Tamandua tetradactyla: one gene and its partner. The protein of the gene in region 1 interacts with the protein of each later gene in a biochemical or structural test. Links are inferred from orthologs where the notes say so. Each region holds a gene or a part of one and is shown on either strand. Other genes may lie near its edges. The genes, in order: SELP and CD24.

Region 1 (9,047 bases):
TCCTTTTTTACTTTTGCAAAGAGGTATGATAGCGTAATTAAGAAAAGACCTTCAAACTTAAAAATATATTAGGTTAAGATTCTATGGGGGAAGCAAAATAAAAACAAGCATTAAAGGGTAGAAAATGAATAATATGAAATTTCCTATTATTGAAGAAGAGCTTGTTTAGAATTTTTTTTAAGCAATGAGGGTTATCAGATCACTATGCTATTTAATTCCATTGGGTGCTCTTGAAGAAATGATGCAACAATTTTATTTTAAAGTGGCAATATTTACAATCGACCAGAATTCCTCCTTTATTACATCTAGAATTTGTGACAACAAATTTTAGCTCTCAGCTTAGAAAAATGCAGGAATGACACAGTTTTCTAGAATTGTTTTTGGAGGTAGGAGAGCAAAAACATTGCTGCTGTAGAGCAGTATCACAAAGCCCTCGTGACGGGGACCCCAGGGCTTGCTGGGCTTCTGTCAGGTAGATGCAGGAGGAATGCAGTGCACTTAACCTGGGGACCCCTCAGAAGTGCTTTTTCTGCTTGTATAGAGCATAGCTAGAGGTTTCTCTGAGGTCACTGTGACCAACTCTGGGTAGCGTGTAGGGAGCTAGAGAGGTGGGGCTCCTAATCCCCTACTTCCATGCCCCACCCAGTTCTTCCCAGATGGAGCTCTTTCACTTTTCAACTTTTTAAAAAATATGTAAACTTTTCAATAAGATTTGGTCTAAACAAGATTTCCTCAGGAAACCCTCTACCACACCAAACAAGACAGAGAGATAGTGAATGGGGCAGGCAAGCTGGAAATGATGTTTTAAAGTTTCAGAGGACTGGTTAGATGCTTTCTGATCAAAGTAATGAAATGAAACTGCAAGTCACTGGCCATCCCCTGCTTTAATGTGACCATATATTCCTCTTTTTTTCCCCATTACTAATACCGAGAGTCACTTCTCTGATCATTGCAGATCTCAGAGTTGGAGAACACCATAAAAATTACTGCCACAATTTAGCTTTTCTCGGGCATTCTGCAGCAGGTCTTTTGGACCATGATGCTCAAGATGGGGCAAGTGCCACTGCCCATCACTGAGGTGCAGTGAGTTTAAATGATCTGCCCAATTTTACACACCTGGATGCATATAGGGTTACATCAGTAATTTTTATTCTAGTAGAACTCATGAACTCCTTTGAAAGGTTGTTTAAAAAACCATGTTTTTTTTTTTAATCAGTGGTCCAGATCATTTTAAAAAATGCACACTTGCAATTTTTTTTAATAATTTCAGAAGGTTCGTCTGTCTAACCATGTTAATGGACCCTGAGTTCAAATTTCTGAGCTAATGTTCAGGCTAACCAACAAGGGTTTTGTGTACAGGTTTGGGCATGGAGGTAGGTAATGCTTATGAATCTCCCCTTGGTCAATAATTTTCCAATGAAATTTCTTATTGGGTGCACAGACCTTCTCACATCTGCTCTGCAGCATAGTCTTCTGGACCATGCAAGATCTGAGTTACTGGAGAATTAAGGATTCTGTCCTTGTGTCACTAAGCAGGTTAAGTGTTGTAACAAGAGGCAATACCTTTCTAGGAGAAGTGGCTAGAGGCTGTGTTAATCTCTAATGTTCTCAGGCAGTCCACTCCAAGCTGCCCTGGGTCATTTGAATGATATCCTGTGACCTGTGTAAACCTTCATTAAGGCTGCTTTGCACTGTAGTTCTCTTTGACCTTAATTTCCAAAGAACTGAAATGACTTTGGGGTGAGAAGAGGGGCAGACAGAAAGTGAAAGGAGCAAGTGTTTTTCTCTAGACCTCACTTTCACAGGACACCCGTAGGAGACCCATGGCTGCCAGCACTCTAGGTGGTTTACAAAACTGACGAGAATGGTACCACCAAAAGGAGAACCTGGGTGGTATAGCACAGATATTAGTAGCCCCAGCTTAAAAATGGAGATTGAAATACAGAGAGAAAAGAGGTAGGCTCTTAGCCAAACAGTAAATTAGAAATAAAGACAAGAAGCCCGGGGCATGAACACTTAGAATCAAGGCATATATTCAAATTAGACTATTGGGCAGGGAATGGTGGCTCAGTGGCAGAGTTCTCTCCTGCCTTGCTGGAGACCCAGGTTCAATTCCTGGTGCCTGCCCATCCCACCATCCCCTCAAAAAAATTCAGCTATCGCTCACCATTATTTAGGATGAAACAGCAACATTAAACGCTAGAGTGGTATGCCTAAAAGAAATGTAAAAGTCTTGTTGAACAATGGCTAAGCTATATCCCTACAAAAATAAAGAGTGCAATTGGCTTTATAACATTTCTGATCTGCTCTTCAATCAGGGAGTCTTGACACCAGGAAGACAATGTAATGGATGGATTTATGAAACTACCATGTACTTACCAGTGTGAGGATCTTTTCTCAATATTACCTGCTAGTATCATATTTTATATTTTGTGGATTTGATTAATAAGCTTCTACTTAGAGATCTCCAAGGTTGTACATTCTAAGAGCCAATGGCCAGCCCAGGAGACCCTGGACCATTTCGTTGCATTTTGAAAAAACAGGCAATGAAAGGAAGCAAGAACTGGAAGTCAAACACCTGAGATAGTTAACGGTATAAATGGAGGAGAATCCAAAGCTGCTCCTTAGCCCACTAAAACCCTTTCTAACATTGGCATAATTTAACTGTAAGTTACCTCAGGTCTTTCTGATTGAAAATATCACCCTAAAGTTGTTTCCTCAGGTCCTAGAGATTGATCGAAGCCACTCTCTGAATTTGAAGCAGAATTAACACAAGCAGTTTGAGGTTCCTGACTCTCCAAAGCCAAGTGTGCTTAGAGGTGAAGGATGAGGTCCTATCTTAGGAATACTAAACACAATTCCAGGACTAGAGTCCTTAGCACTGCATTGCAGAGTTCCAGCCTGGTTTCAGGATGCCAAGAGGAGCTTCTGAGCAAAAGCATAAGAGGCCATAGGGTGGAGTTCCTGACCTGGGATCCTTCTGTTTATGTGGATATTGGCATTTTTATCTGGGCAGACGAGTTGTAGCTTTCATTAGAATCTCCAAAGACTCCAAGATCTAATATGCTTACACATCTCTGAATTAGAGGAAGACATCAGAGAAGATCAAAGGAGGAGAGGAATCACTCCTTATTCGTTTAATTTGACCAATTCAGGAGAAGTATGACATACAAAAGATAAGACAAGAGGAATTCATAGTCTTATGTCATCGGAGTTCTTCCTCTTAACCCTGTTCTCCCCAACACAGAAAACCCTCATTATAGGCACTTGAAAAGGATACAAATAGTAAAGCAAAGAGGTGGGGTGATCTGATGTAAACACGACTTTCTTCTGGAATCCCAAGGAAAGGTGTCCAAGAGCAGAGACTGTTAAATGGGTCCTCCCTAGCCTCAAGTGCAGGATTTTAGACTCTGGAACTTGTATGGGATATTTCTGGTATATTGGGGATAAAATTAGAGGTGACCTAGGCATATCTGTCTGATCTAGAAAAACCATATGGAGTTCAAGAATGCCTTGTCTTTTTTTAATATTCGCTGGATCCCCAACCCCACTGCATCCCAAGGATTTTCTCTTTCTCAAAACAGTAATAGCTAACATTTACTGATCATTTACTATATCCCAGGCTCACATCTAAAGGCTTTCCAGTGTAATCTTATTTAATCTTCACAATGACACTATGGAGTACTACTACATTCATTTTACAGATGAGGAAACTGAGGCACAAACAGGATTGAGACTTAGGGAAAAACTAGTAACCATGTGTATACTCCAGATCAGTTCCAGCAGACTGAAAGAAATAGGACATCTGGGAATGAGAAACCATTCAAGCACAGGTTTGTCCCAGGGCACACCATGCCTTCCTTTCAACCCAGAGAGAACAGCAATCTTGGAGAAGTGACCCTAGTCCAAGAGGGTCCCTGCAAGCTCCTGTAGAAAGAACCAGCGCAACCTTATGTAGAACACCTCGCCTCTGTAAGCCACGATGTCTTCATATGTAAAATATGAATAACCCAACCTCATAAGGTTGTGGGGAGTGTTAAAGGGGACAGCAACTTTTGAAGTGCATGTAATCTCTTAAATCCTGTTTAACATAAAGCTCCCTAACTTTTGTTGTTCCTGACTCTTTAGCTGCCTAGTTTCAGCCCCAGTTCTCCTTATGCCCACTTCAACTCATCTGTTCCCATACGAACATGAAATGAACTTACCATCTCTTCTGCAGTCTCTGCTGGCTTTCTGCCTTCTGCCTGACCCAGACTTCTTGAAGTCTCGCTGCCTCGCTTTGGTGTCAGGCTGTTTAGAAAAGCAACTTCCTATTCACTTTCCAGAAACTCGCCACAGCCCTTCCCAAGAAGTTAGAACTAATAATGCAGAAGCAATGTTGGCAGCTTAGAAATAGTAGTGACTGAGGAAGCAAGGGGCGGCTTTCCTCAGTGGGAGGTGGTCTGGGAAAGGGGGAGAGTGTGAATCACCCCCGGCAATCCGGGTGAGCAGTGATGGAGTAGTGCCCACCGCCCCCAGGACCTACGTTTCCTTTGGTTATGTAATGAATCACAATTTAAGGTTAAATGTTTGGAAAACATGTTTTATATTAATCAAAATGTCAAAGTGTAAATTTTCCAGTTATCATGAAATCTCAATGAATGTTCGTTTTTCTATTCCAGCAAACTTCTGAGGAAAAGGAGCAAAAATAGTCACTCGCCAAAAATCTTTATATAGGACGGGAAAAAGCCACTGAGGGTTTTCTGGCAGTTGAGGGTAACTATTGGAAAGTATTTTAAAATAGTATAAAACAGACATTGATCATTCAAAAGGAACTTCTTAGGTCTGAATAAAAGATGTGAAAATGGAAAGGTTAATATTTCTAGTCACACAGATTGTGTGGTCCTAAAAGGCTGTGTGGTGCAGTGGCTAAGACTTGGGCTCTGCTACTGAACTGCCTGAGACACATCCTGGCTCCACCTCGGCTAGCCAAGGGGCAAATTAAATCAACTCTCTGTGCCTCTGTTTCCTCAATTGTGGAATGGAATAGTAGCGAATAGAACCTATCTCACAGGGTTGTTTTAGGGTTAAATGAGCTCATACCTGTAGAATGCTTGAAACAATAACCAGCATACAGTTGGCATTCAACAAACATTTGGTAGCAGACCCAAGTATCAAGTAATTGGTATCAAGTCAGAAAAACATCACTCCAGTGCATCCCCTTGGAATCTAGTTATGTAGTAGGGGGATGTTATTCTTTATTCCCTCTACAGTTGTTATGCCTTGTACATAGGCACCTCATAGGAAAGACAAAGAAAATGCAATAAAATGGAAAGAGCTGGAAGACAGTCCAAAGATAAAAGTGATTTATCTGAGCCTCAATTTGCATTTAAGAATTTGGAACCAAGAGGAAAGAATTACATGGTAGTAGTAGAAAGACTGGGGAAGGAGATGTTGATGAAGAAGTGACTGGTGGAGGGATGAGGGAAGTTGAAGTAGAGGAAAAATGGAGAACTTTGAGGCAGCATAGTATGGTGATTCAGAACCCAGAACCCGGAGCCAGACCCCTTGGACAAGTTAACTTTTTTTGACCTGGGCAAGTTATTTAACTCTTGTGAAAGTTTCCTCAGCTATAACAACAATAAGAATAATAAATCACCAACCTCATAGAAGTGTTAGGACAATTCATCAAATTTACATGTAAAGTGCTTAGAATAGTGCCTGGCAAACTGTAAGTGCAAGTGTTAGCTATTATTTCCATAAAATTTGCTTCGATTCCCTTCAGCTTTTATTTTCACTACCCGGCCCTTGTTTTTTTCATTGCCCATTTTTGAAAAAAAATTCTCAGATGGAGATCAGGGAAGGTGGTATGTAGACTGATAGGTTCATATTGATAACATGCTTTAAGTTTAATGATGTTAAATTTTAAGGAGTAGGAGGGAAGCAGAAAAGATTCCTAGGAATATGAATGGGAGGAGATGACTTTGTTTAAAAGCTGTCCAGGCTAAATACAAATTTTCTCATATACATTTAATCTATATTGAAAATTTAGGTTGTTTCTGATTACGTCGCCATTAAAAATAAGATATGATTGCAATTTATTTTAATTATTAGTGGTAGCTATCTGTTTTGTATGTGTTTTCTCTTATCCCCATATTATACTATATGTTTCCTGAGGGCAAGGACACTTTTCTATATTAATCTTACATCTCCCTCAGTATCTTGCAGAGGAAAAATAGTTGTTCAACAAATGCTTGTTGGCTTATTGATTTCATTGATGACTCTGGATAGACACAATGAAAGTGCTCCCTCCCACCTTCCTCTCTGAACTCTATTCTATTACCATGGTACATCCACATACAGAAGAAACATTTAAGTCCCATCGAATCTCCAAGCAGGGTTCTACACAGGGATTCAATAGTGAACAAAAAGGGACTTAGTCCCTTCCCTTATGCAGCTCATGGTTTAGAAGGGCATCGGATGTTAAATAAAAGCCACAAAAATAAGTGCACTTAGAAAAAAATGTGGTTCAATGAAAGAATGTTATGGAGACTTGACCTGAGGAAGCCTCCCCTGAGGGTGTGACCTTGGAGCTGAGGTCAGAAATTTGATTAGGAGTATCATGGTTAGGGAGAGTCTTCTAGGCCAGCAGAGGCTTGGAGCAACCTGGGAACCAAGAGACAACCACAGGGACTGGAGAGCAGGAGAAAAGGCTGGAGAGGTAGGGAGAGTTGGGAACCTTCTAGGCCAGGTTATGGTTGTGGCCTTCATGGGGATTGAGTCAGAACCAGTTTAATTCCTCAGGAAATTTTCCACCTGCATAGCTGGTCCCTCTACTCAGAGAAGACTAGGAAACTTTCTACGTAATAGGTTACATTGATAACATAAAACTATATATATAAAAAAAAGAGCATATAAATTTTTCTCCTTATTGTCAATATAATACTTTCTCAAAAAAAAAAGGAAATTCAAAAAAGCACAAGGAAGGGGGGAAAATCACAATAGTACTATCACCAAAGAGGTAGCAACTCAACATGTTGTTGTTTTTCGTTCATATATTTTTAATGGAATTTGAATAATATTGTAGATTCGGTTTTAAAATCTGCTTTGTTTACTTATTCATACAGAATGTACCTTTCTGACATATTAAGTATAGTTCCGCTTCATCACAACTAAAAAAAAGGCCCCAAAATGTAAGTAGATATAAGTATAGATATAGATAGAGATAGAGATACAACATAAAGATGAGAAATGAAGGATAAACTTAACCTTCCCGTTGCCTAAGTGTCCTTATCAAAACTTCCCAGATATGGCTCTTGAGAAGTTGCCCCATTTCTTTCTGGAAACTCTCTGGTCTGTATTTCTGAAGTGTCTGCTTCCTGATGGCTGGCTGTCATGGCCAAAGATAATCAACTTTCCCCATATAGCTTTAAGAAGATAATTTACACAAATTTCACGAATTTCTAACTCTTCCTGCTGAAATTCTTTTTAAATAGGTTTGTGGTATTATTATTAAGCATTTCTTTTCTCTATCTTCCCTCTGCAGTTTTTGAAAGGGAAGGAAAAGCAAGGATATCAGCCAGTTTGGCAAAGGTCCCAGATAGTGAACTGAACTTTCACAATTGTCTACCCACATAATATTAAATAGAAACAGAATTCATGACACATTCCACGCTGACATATTTATGCCCACTTAGACCCATTTAGTCTTCAACACATTTTGTGGGGACCTGCCCCGTGTTATAACCTAAGCCAGGCTCTGGAGAATCAAAGATGAATAAAGCACATACCCCAGCCTCATTCAGGTCAAAGGCCAGGACAGAGATGGGCATATAAACAGATCATTATAGAACAGTGTGGTATGAGTCAGATTACACATTGATGGTGGAGGTGGGGCAGGGAAGGTGGGAAATGGGTGGAAAGGGTTCTTACAGAGGTTACCTCTGAGTAGAGTAAGTCAGATTGTTTTATACAAGTTCAGTGGTTAAATATGTATGTCACAAAACATCCTAAATTCTGTAGATAAAATAGGAAGTGATTTTTCACATTAAAGGTAATTTTGCCCTCCCCAAAACATGTCTGGGGCCCTTTGATTGACAGAAGGCAATGACAGAAGGATTATCACCTGTGCTAGACACACAGTTAAATGGGTGACCTATTTGTAGCTGAATACAACCTATAGACTATTTAAAAAGTCAGTGAGGAAATGAAAGCAGAGCTATGGTTATATTCATTAGCCACTATTATTGAGCACTTATTCTATTGGCCAGACTGTGCCATTTAAAAAGCTTTAAATAAAGCATTTAAAAAGCTTTACCTCATCGAATCCTTCAGTTCTTGGACTAAACCAAGACACTTGTGTCTGGCTTGCCTCCCCAGAACATGCCCTGCAGGTAAAGGCAGCTTCAGACAGCTAAAGTAGTAAAGAAATAATCAAATCACAATAGCCTTGGAAAAGGATTACTGGCACTAATAAAGACTATGGAGCACTCAGGATGGTGAGAAGTCTTCTTCAAAGTGAGTAGATATTCAGATCTCTGTAAACAGGGAAATTCCTTAGGCCACAAGGGCATGTCCAGGACAGGACACATGCTCACAAAAAATGAAAAAATATATAGAGAGGACTCATGCTTTTGCCACAGAATGATTTTCTTAGTAGAAAAGATAAACTCTAAAGGAGAGCACCAGCCAATGCAGAGCCAATTTGCAAAGACTGAAAGGCATTTTTGCATTGGGTGCCTGTTTTTATTAGCTCCTGATACTCAAGGAAACTTTTGTCAATTCACTAGCCAGTTATAAACTTAAGGAACAGACAGCTCAAGACTAAATTATGGAGTTAAACACATTAAAATTTTTAATTGTTTGTTCAAAGATTGCAAGATAAACACAGAGATGAGAAATGTTGACTAATCAAAGGAATGAGATAAAACTTCAGAAACCATCAACCAGGAATACTACACTTTCAACATGCCTGAAAAATACTTTAAAAGAAATAATCTTCAATATGCTCGAAGAGCTAAAGGAAAACACACACAAAGAAAAGGAATATCAGGAAGATGATAAATGAA
Region 2 (8,437 bases), on another chromosome or scaffold:
GGTAGAAGAGAAAAGGACACAGCAATGGAAGTAAGGACTAAAACAGCACCACTGGTTCTGTTCTGTGTGTTATTCTCTTCAGGGTTTTCTTGAGAGCAGCTTTGACATCCTTGTTCCTCAGGCTATAGATAAGGGGGTTCAGCATGGGCACCACATTGGTATAAAGCACTGAGAAAAATTTCTCCTGACCCAAAGACCCAGCAGATGATGGCTTGACATGAGTGAGCAGCCCAGATCCATAGAAAAGGCCAACAGTAATTAAATGGGAGCCGCAGGTATTGAAGGCTTTGGACCAGCCCTTAGCTGATGACATGTGAAGGACATTGAAAAGAATCATAGCATAAGAGATAAAGATAATTATACTTGATACTATGATAACTGTACCCGCAATAATTGAAGCCACAATCTCATTGGTATATGTACTGCTGCAGGAGAGCTGGAGCAAGGGAAAGATGTCACACATGTAGTGGTTGATGATGTTGAAGTCACAAAACTTCAGCTTCATCATGCACCCTGTGTGAGCCATCGCAACAACAGACCCCATCACGTATGAAGCAGACATCAGCAGAGAACACATCTGAGGGGACATGATGATGGTGTACAGTAGGGGCTTACAGATGGCCACGTAGCGATCACAGGCCATGGCTGTCAGCACATAGCACTCAGAGCTGACAAAGAAACAGAAGAAAAATAACTGAGCCATGCATCCTGCAAAGGAGATGACGTTCCTCTCTGAATTAAAGCTCATCAGCATTTTGGGGGTAAAGACAAATGAATAGCAGAGATCAATGAAGGACAGATTAAAGAGGAAAAAGTACATGGGGGTGTGAAGGTGGGAACTGAAGCAAATAAGATGCATTAAAATTAAATTCCCCACTACAGTGACCACATGGTTCAGCAAAAACAGAAAAAACAGGGGCAACTGAATCTCAGGTTTGTCTGTTAATCCCATAAGGATAAACTGAGTCACTGAAGAGACATTTTCCACAGCCATTTTCTTCATGGGCATGATCTGTAGAGCAGGAGTAGAGGTGAGCTTAGTGATGTACAATCAATCTTATCCTGCAAAGGGAGATCTGGATCAGCAGGGTTACAAGATCAAGGTTTTTTGAAGACACAGGGTGAGACATCCATGTAACTGACATCCTGAGGAGATTCCCCAGGACTGAGAGTCCACACTGTTCTTCCTTCCTCTCTTTCCCTCTCTCAGAGTCTTGGTCATTGTGCAGAGGAGAATGAGGAGAGTGCTGGTAGACCTCCTAATGCCTAATTTCCTCCCTCTGACATGAGCTCCTGCCAATCTCATATCAAAGGCTGGAGTGCTCCCCTAAAATTCTTGTCTTATATAGTTGTAGGTTTGAAGGAGGTTACTAAATCAGAGATGATTCCTTCACCTGGAGACCTCACTGACACTGGACTTGAGGGTTATTCATCTCTACCATCGTGAAGCTGACAAGGTTTCTGACAATGAAGGAGGCAGTAGCCATCAGCACTGTCCTGAGTCTTTAACATTCTAGAAGAAGTATTTTTTTAAAGAAGTTGTAATTTCTACTTTTAATTTGTCCAGAAGGTCCTGTTTACTTGTGAACAGGAAAACAACCTTATATGAGCCTAAAGAACAATCATCTGGCTTCAGTGAGAATGTTTTTCCTGCATCACATCCTATGGCTTGGGGAAGATTAATTAGAAGTACAGAAAATTATCCTCTCCCACATGATTTCTTTCAGTTTGATGAGCCTCTTGAGGGTAGAAATTTCTGGGCCTGTGATTACATCCTGTATCATCGAACAGGATCCTCTGGGACTCAGTGTTCTGCTCAATTTATATATCATATAATGAATTCCTAATCCCCACTGCAAAGAACTGATGGCCCCTTGGTTGTTCCCCTGTGCATCCACTGGATACCAAGTGCAACTCTAAGGGAGGTCCTTGGAAATAGTCACTTGCCATTTTTTTTTTTTCATTTGATTGCTCTTTCAGCCATTTTTAATTTACAGTTTGTGTTCAATGCAAATCAATTCCATAACATGAGAAGGTACTATGAATCAAAGCATAAATACACAAACACAATATACAATCCAAAACAAGATGTATAGCATTCAAATATGCAGTAGAAGGGAATGTTCATTCACACACACAGTAGCTTTAGACCTGTTGGATCTGGTTTTTCCCTGTGGGTTTCTAAAGAAAAAAAAGATGGAAACAAATGACTGGCTATCAAGACTTCTGTGGTCATATTAGATACTAGGACATCTAAGCATCAGTGTGTGACCATGCGAACAAAAAACTTCATGAGAGTATTTATTTTTAAAAAGGTTTCTGTGCATTTAGGCAGTTGTAAAAGATTTACTTTCCAGAATCAAGCCAATTTTAGGCTTATGACCATGTTCTAACTATCTAAAAATATTAACTGATAAAGAAAGTGTTCCAAATGTGGCTATTCTGATTCATAGTTAAAAAAAGTATTTACAGAAAGCGTATAAAAGTTTTTGTGAATTTAATGCAGGATAGGTTCCAGTCTTCACTTCCCAAATACTGGATTTACATTATTTTTGGCTCCTTCACATTTGCCTTTTAAATTTCAAGACCTATCAATTTTACTTTCAAAACAGATCATTTATTAAATTGTAAATATACTCAACATATGCAGAAACAAAAAAAGCAGAATTCTGAAATTGGCTGAGGTCAATGCATTTCTACTCTTTGGAATCAGTTTAGCTAAATGAATCTGGTGCTGTTGTTGGATGGGAATGTGATAAGAAATGCCTACCATTCGATTTTATAAATGAATAAGCAAGATTTATTCATTATGCTTACATTGTGGGGTAGATTCCAATACATCATTGCCTGGCACATGTCAATTACAACAATGTCAAATCCCAAGCCTCAGAAATAAGAACTGAGTTCCCAAGAAAACAATGATAGCTGAACAATGTAAAACTTTTATCTAGAGTTTATCAGCATTAAATTAGTATTGGTGAAACAATACATGGAGAATGTACAGTAACACCTGGAGGTTCCGTCTAATGTACACATAAATAGAATCATGGGAGCTTTTATATTACCTAATCATTTCATGACCCTATATATTTAATGTACCAAATGAAAACTGAATCTCCATTCCACACCCCATTGTTTCTCTTTGGATAAGAGAAAATCTATTTGTTTTTCAAGGTAGAGTTTTAAGTGTCCCTATTTCTTAAGTCACATTCAAGGAAATAATCTCTTCATTTTGGAAGTTGTCTCTTTTCATCTTCTACATGAAACTCCAGCAGACTTAATATTGGCATTCATCATCAAGTCAAATCCTTCACATGTTCTTCAAACCAGTCAAATTTGGGATTCTCAACATTTTCTGCATCAATTAAGGTGTGGAATCAGTAGATTCAATGAAGACCTGTGTTCTCGCCACACTGGACTTTAGATGCCATTTGGATTGGGTTCAGAAGATGGGGAAGCATAGATGTTTCTTGATCTGAGTCTCTTAACAGTAGAGATGTAAAAGAGAGAGTGAGACCATGAGGAGGCTGGCTGTAGACTGCAGGACACTGCCGCTTCCTGGGGTGGTGGCATTAGCTGAAGTTGGGGCAGCCAAGGTACTCTGGGAGGAGTTACTTGAATGTGGCATGGGAGTTGTTTGATTTGAATAAATCTGCGTGGGTAAGAGCAGCGCCAGAAGCAGCAGCCCCAGTCCGAGCCTGGCCACCATCGCTTTGCCCATGTCCGCTCCGTCGGCGCGCTGCGAGTCCGGCTGGATGCTGGGTGTGTGGAGCACCACTGGCTAGGGGCGGGCACCGGCAAGGTCGTCACTTGCCATTTTTAATACTCTTCTACAAATCTCTGGATTAAATGAATGAAATAATAGATCATTGCTTTAACACTATACATGCTTATAGATTTCAACTCAGTGAAGTGAGGAGATGAAGTTCGTAAATGGACTGAGTTTAACGAACAATTCTCAAGTTCTTAATTGTAAAATTTTGAATGAGCTATGGAATTTCACTGAACTTTGTATCTGTATCTATAAAATGAGAATAAAAAATGCTATCTTATAAGGCTGCTATGGCTATTAAATGAGTTAATTCACATAAAGCATTTGGACCAGGTCTGGCAAATGAAGAGAGCCTGATAAGTCTTAGCTTCCTCTTCCTTTCTCCTCTGCCACATTCACATATATAAAGAGATTCTGAACCACGACAACTATATGCATTTTGTACATTAAAATATGTGTTGCTGTAGTGGGCTATGTATATATTTTATGAGGCACAGCATCCCTGGCCTCTACCAATTACATACTAGTATTCTGTCCCTGCAACCATTCACTCTGCATTCTGAAAATAAAAATTTCTGGACCTAAATGTCAGAACTTTTAATTTTCCCTGGGAGTCAAAACTGGCTAATTTTGATAAGTTCTGTTCTATATGTATAACTTAGAGATCTACACTACTTCCTGGACAATTCTAGTTTGTTTTACAGATTTCACAAACACAAATTATGCCCAAAACTGAGCATTTTCTTATGATCTTCTGTGACTATACTTGTGCTGCAGTACATTATCGCACTGTTGTGCCCTGCACTGTACCTTGCATTCTGCTACATTTCCACACCACAAACACAAGGCTTTAGACAACTGAAGAAAATCAACTCCAAAGTAAACCAATCAAGATATTTACATGCAACAAAAACAACAGAGGATCACTAAGCATATCACAATGCAGACAGATACAGTCAAACCTAATGACCAAATTAAAAGAGCAGAGGAGACAGATGTTGGAATAAGTAATCAAAGATATTCATATAACTCTACTTCATAAAATAAACGGAATGGCTAATGACATAAAGGAGATCAAGAAGACAGTAGACGAGCATAAAGAAGACTTTGAAAGAATGAATAGAAAAATAGCAGTTATCACAGAGATTAAAGACTCTGTTGACAAAGTAAAAAACATACTAGAGGCACACAACAGCAGAGTTGAAGGGACAGAAGAAAGAATAAATGATATCCAGGACAGGATAGCTGATTTCAAACACTTAAAACATGATAAATCCAAACAGGCCTTCCTCAAGACACATACTAATCAGTCTTGCAAATGTTGAAGGGAAGTAGAAAATTCTGAAAGCAGCAAGAGAAAAACAATTTACTACATACAAGGTAAATCAAATAAGACTCAGTTCAAACTTCTCAACTAGCACCCTGGAGGCAAGAAGGTAGTTCTATGATATATTCAAGATCCTAAATGAGAAAGACTTCCAGCCAGGATTTCTGCAACCAGCCAAATTGTCCTTCAAAATTGTGGGAGAGATTAAAGTTTTCACAGACAAAGAAATCCTAAAGAATATGTCAACAAGAGACTGGAGCTTAAAAAAAAAAAAAAAAAGAGACTGGAGCTATAAGAAATAATAAAAGGAGTTCTGCCAGCTGAAAAAAAGACAGGAGAGGGAAGTCTGGAGGAGGGCACAGAATTGAAGAGTACCAGTAAGGGTAACTTAAAGGATATAAAGAGAGAGAGGGAAAAGAATATATATTTCTGACAAATGAAAGAAAAATGATAAGATAGTGGATTCAAGAAATGTCTTTTCAGTAATAATTGTGAATGTTAACAGACTAAACTTACCAATTAAAAGATACAGATTCACAGAAAGGATTAAGAAATATAATCCAGCTATATGTTGCTTACAAGAGACTCATCTTAAACACAAGGATACAAATAGATTGAAAGTGAAAGGATGGAAAAAAGATTTTCAATGCAAATGGTAACCAAAAGTAAGCAAACTATACTAATCTCAGCCAAGATAGACTTTAAAGGTAAAGACATCATCAGAGACAGTGAAGGGCACTATATATTAATTAAAGGGAAAATTCATCAAGAAGAAATAGCAATCATAAATGTCTATACTCCCAAAAAAGGAGCTCCAAAGTACATGAGACAGACATTGGAAAAACTGAAGGGAGTAATAGATGTTTCAACAGCAATAGTAGGAGACTTCAATACACCACTCTCCTCTATAGATAGAACAACTACAGAGAAGATCAACATGGAAACAGAGGAGTTAAACAACTTGATAAATGAATTAGTCCTAATAGACATATATCAGTCATTGCACCCCAAACACCAGCATATACATTCTTCTGTAGTGCTCATGGAACATTCTCCAGCAAAGATCACATGCTGAGGCACAAAACAGGTCTTTACAAATTTAAAAACACTGCAATTATTCAAAGCACTTTCTCTGATCTTAATGGAATGAAGCTGGGCCTCAATAATCACCAAAGAATGAAAGCATTCCCAAATACATGGAGATAAAAAAACACAGTCTTAAACAACAAGTGGGTCAAAGAAGAAGTTGCTAGAAAAATGAGTAGCTATTTGGAGACAAATGAAAATGAGAATACAACTAATCAGACATTATGGGATGTGGCAAAGGCTGTGCTGAGAGTGAAATTTATTGCCCTAAATGCCTATATTAAAAAACAAGAAAGAGCAAAAATGAAAGACTTAACTTCTAACTTGTAGGAACTTAGGAAAGAGCAACAAACTAACCCCAAAGCAAACAGAAGGATAGAAATAACAAAGATTAAAGCAGAGTTAAATGAATGGGAGAACAAAGAACAATAGAAAGATCAATAAAACCAAAAATTGGTTCTTCGAGAAAATAATAAAATTGAGGGCCACTAGCAAGACAGACAAAGAAAAACAAGAGAAGATACAAATAAACAAATAAGAAATGAGAGCCTGAAGTAATAAAAGAAATCATAAGAGGATACTATGAACAACTATATGCCAACAAACTAGACAACTGAGGCAAAATGGACAAATTCCTGGAAACACACAAACAAGTTGCACTGACTCCGGAAGAAACAGAAGATCTCAACAAACCAATCACAAGTGAAGAGATTCAGTCATCAAAAATCTTCCTACAAAGAAAAGCCCAGGGTCAGATGGCTTCACAGAGGGAATTTTACCAAACATTCCAAAAACAACTAATGCCAATCCCGCTCAAACTTGTCAAAAAAAATTGAAGAAAAAAACTCTACCTAACTCATTATATGAAACTTATATTATTTTAGTACCAAAACTGTTAAAGATGCTATTAAGAAAGGAAAGCTACAGACCAATCTCCCTTATGAACATAGATGCAAAACATTCTCAACAAAGGATTAGCAAATTGAATCCAACAGCATATTAAAAGAATTATACACCAAGATTGAGTGGGTGTTATACCAGGAATGCAAGGATGGTTAAACACAAGAAAATCAGTTAATGTAATAGAACACATTAACATATTGAAAGAGAAAAATCACATGATCATCTCCATTGATGCTGAAAAAGCATTTGTCAAAATCCAAAATCCTTTTCTGACAAAAACGCTTCAAAAGGTAGGAATCAAAGGTAACTTTCTCAACATGATAAAAGGTATATATGTAAAACCCATAGCCAGCATTGTATGCAATGGTGAGAGTCTGAAAGATCAAGAACAAGACAGGGATGACCTCTGTCACCATTGTTATTCAACATTGTACTACTATAAGTTCTAGTGAGAGCAATCAGGAAGGAAAAAGAAATAAAAGGTACCCAAAATCTAAAGGAAGAAATAAATTTTTCATTATTTGCATATTACTATATTTGGAAAATCCTGAAAAATCTACAAGAAAGTTACTTGAGCTAATAAACAAATCAGCAAGGTGGCAGGTTATAAAATTAAAGGGCAAAAGTCAGTTAATGTTTCTATACACAAGCAATGACCTAGCCAAGGTGACAATTAAGGAAAAAATCCCATTCAAAATAGCAACCAAAATAATCAAGTATCTGGAAATGAACTTAACTAAGGATGCAAAGGACTTGTACACAGAGAACTATATAACATTTTTAAAATAAATCAAAGAATATCTATATAGGTGGAAAGATATTTCGTGCTCATGGATAAGAAGGTTAAATATAATTAAGATGTCAATTCTACCCAAAATTAATCTACAGATTCAATGCATTACCAATCACAAGTCCATCCATCTACTTTTTAGACTTGGAAAACCTAGTTACCAAATTCATTTGGAAGGGAAAGAGACCCTGAATAGCTAAAGGTATCCTAAAAAAGAAGACTGAAGTGGGAGGATTAACACTCCCTGATTTTAAAACTTATGATAAAGCCACAGTGGTCAAAATAGCAGTGTACTGATGCAAAGATAGAAACATTGATCAATGTAATTGAATTGAGAGTGCAAGAATCGACCACCAAATATATGGTAAACTGATCTTTGACAAGGCCCCCAAATCCACTGAACTGGGAAAAATTAGTCTGTTCAATAAATAGGCATGGGAGAACTGGATACCAACAGCCAGAAGAGTGAAAGATAACCCTTAACTTACACCCTATCCAAAAATTTACTCAAATTGGATCAAACACCTAAGCATTAAAAACCAGTACCATAAAGATCCTA

The links.
Region 2: the proteins of SELP (region 1) and CD24 form a complex in vitro, tested with the Homo sapiens proteins (2 studies listed by BioGRID and IntAct). The link is inferred for Tamandua tetradactyla from reciprocal best matches to the Homo sapiens genes SELP and CD24.

Annotation. Positions count from the first base shown.
Region 1 is NC_135330.1:23,440,967-23,450,013, forward strand, and holds the start of SELP (P-selectin), read right to left. Parts: upstream 4,386-9,047; 5' UTR 4,209-4,385; coding exon 4,206-4,208; intron 1-4,205. UniProt on the Homo sapiens protein: Ca(2+)-dependent receptor for myeloid cells that binds to carbohydrates on neutrophils and monocytes. Mediates the interaction of activated endothelial cells or platelets with leukocytes. The ligand recognized is sialyl-Lewis X.
Region 2 is NC_135334.1:14,875,458-14,883,894, forward strand, and holds CD24 (signal transducer CD24), read right to left. Parts: upstream 3,799-8,437; 5' UTR 3,722-3,798; coding exon 3,485-3,721; 3' UTR 1,970-3,484; downstream 1-1,969. Other genes in the region: olfactory receptor 8C8-like, read right to left, coding at 38-1,009.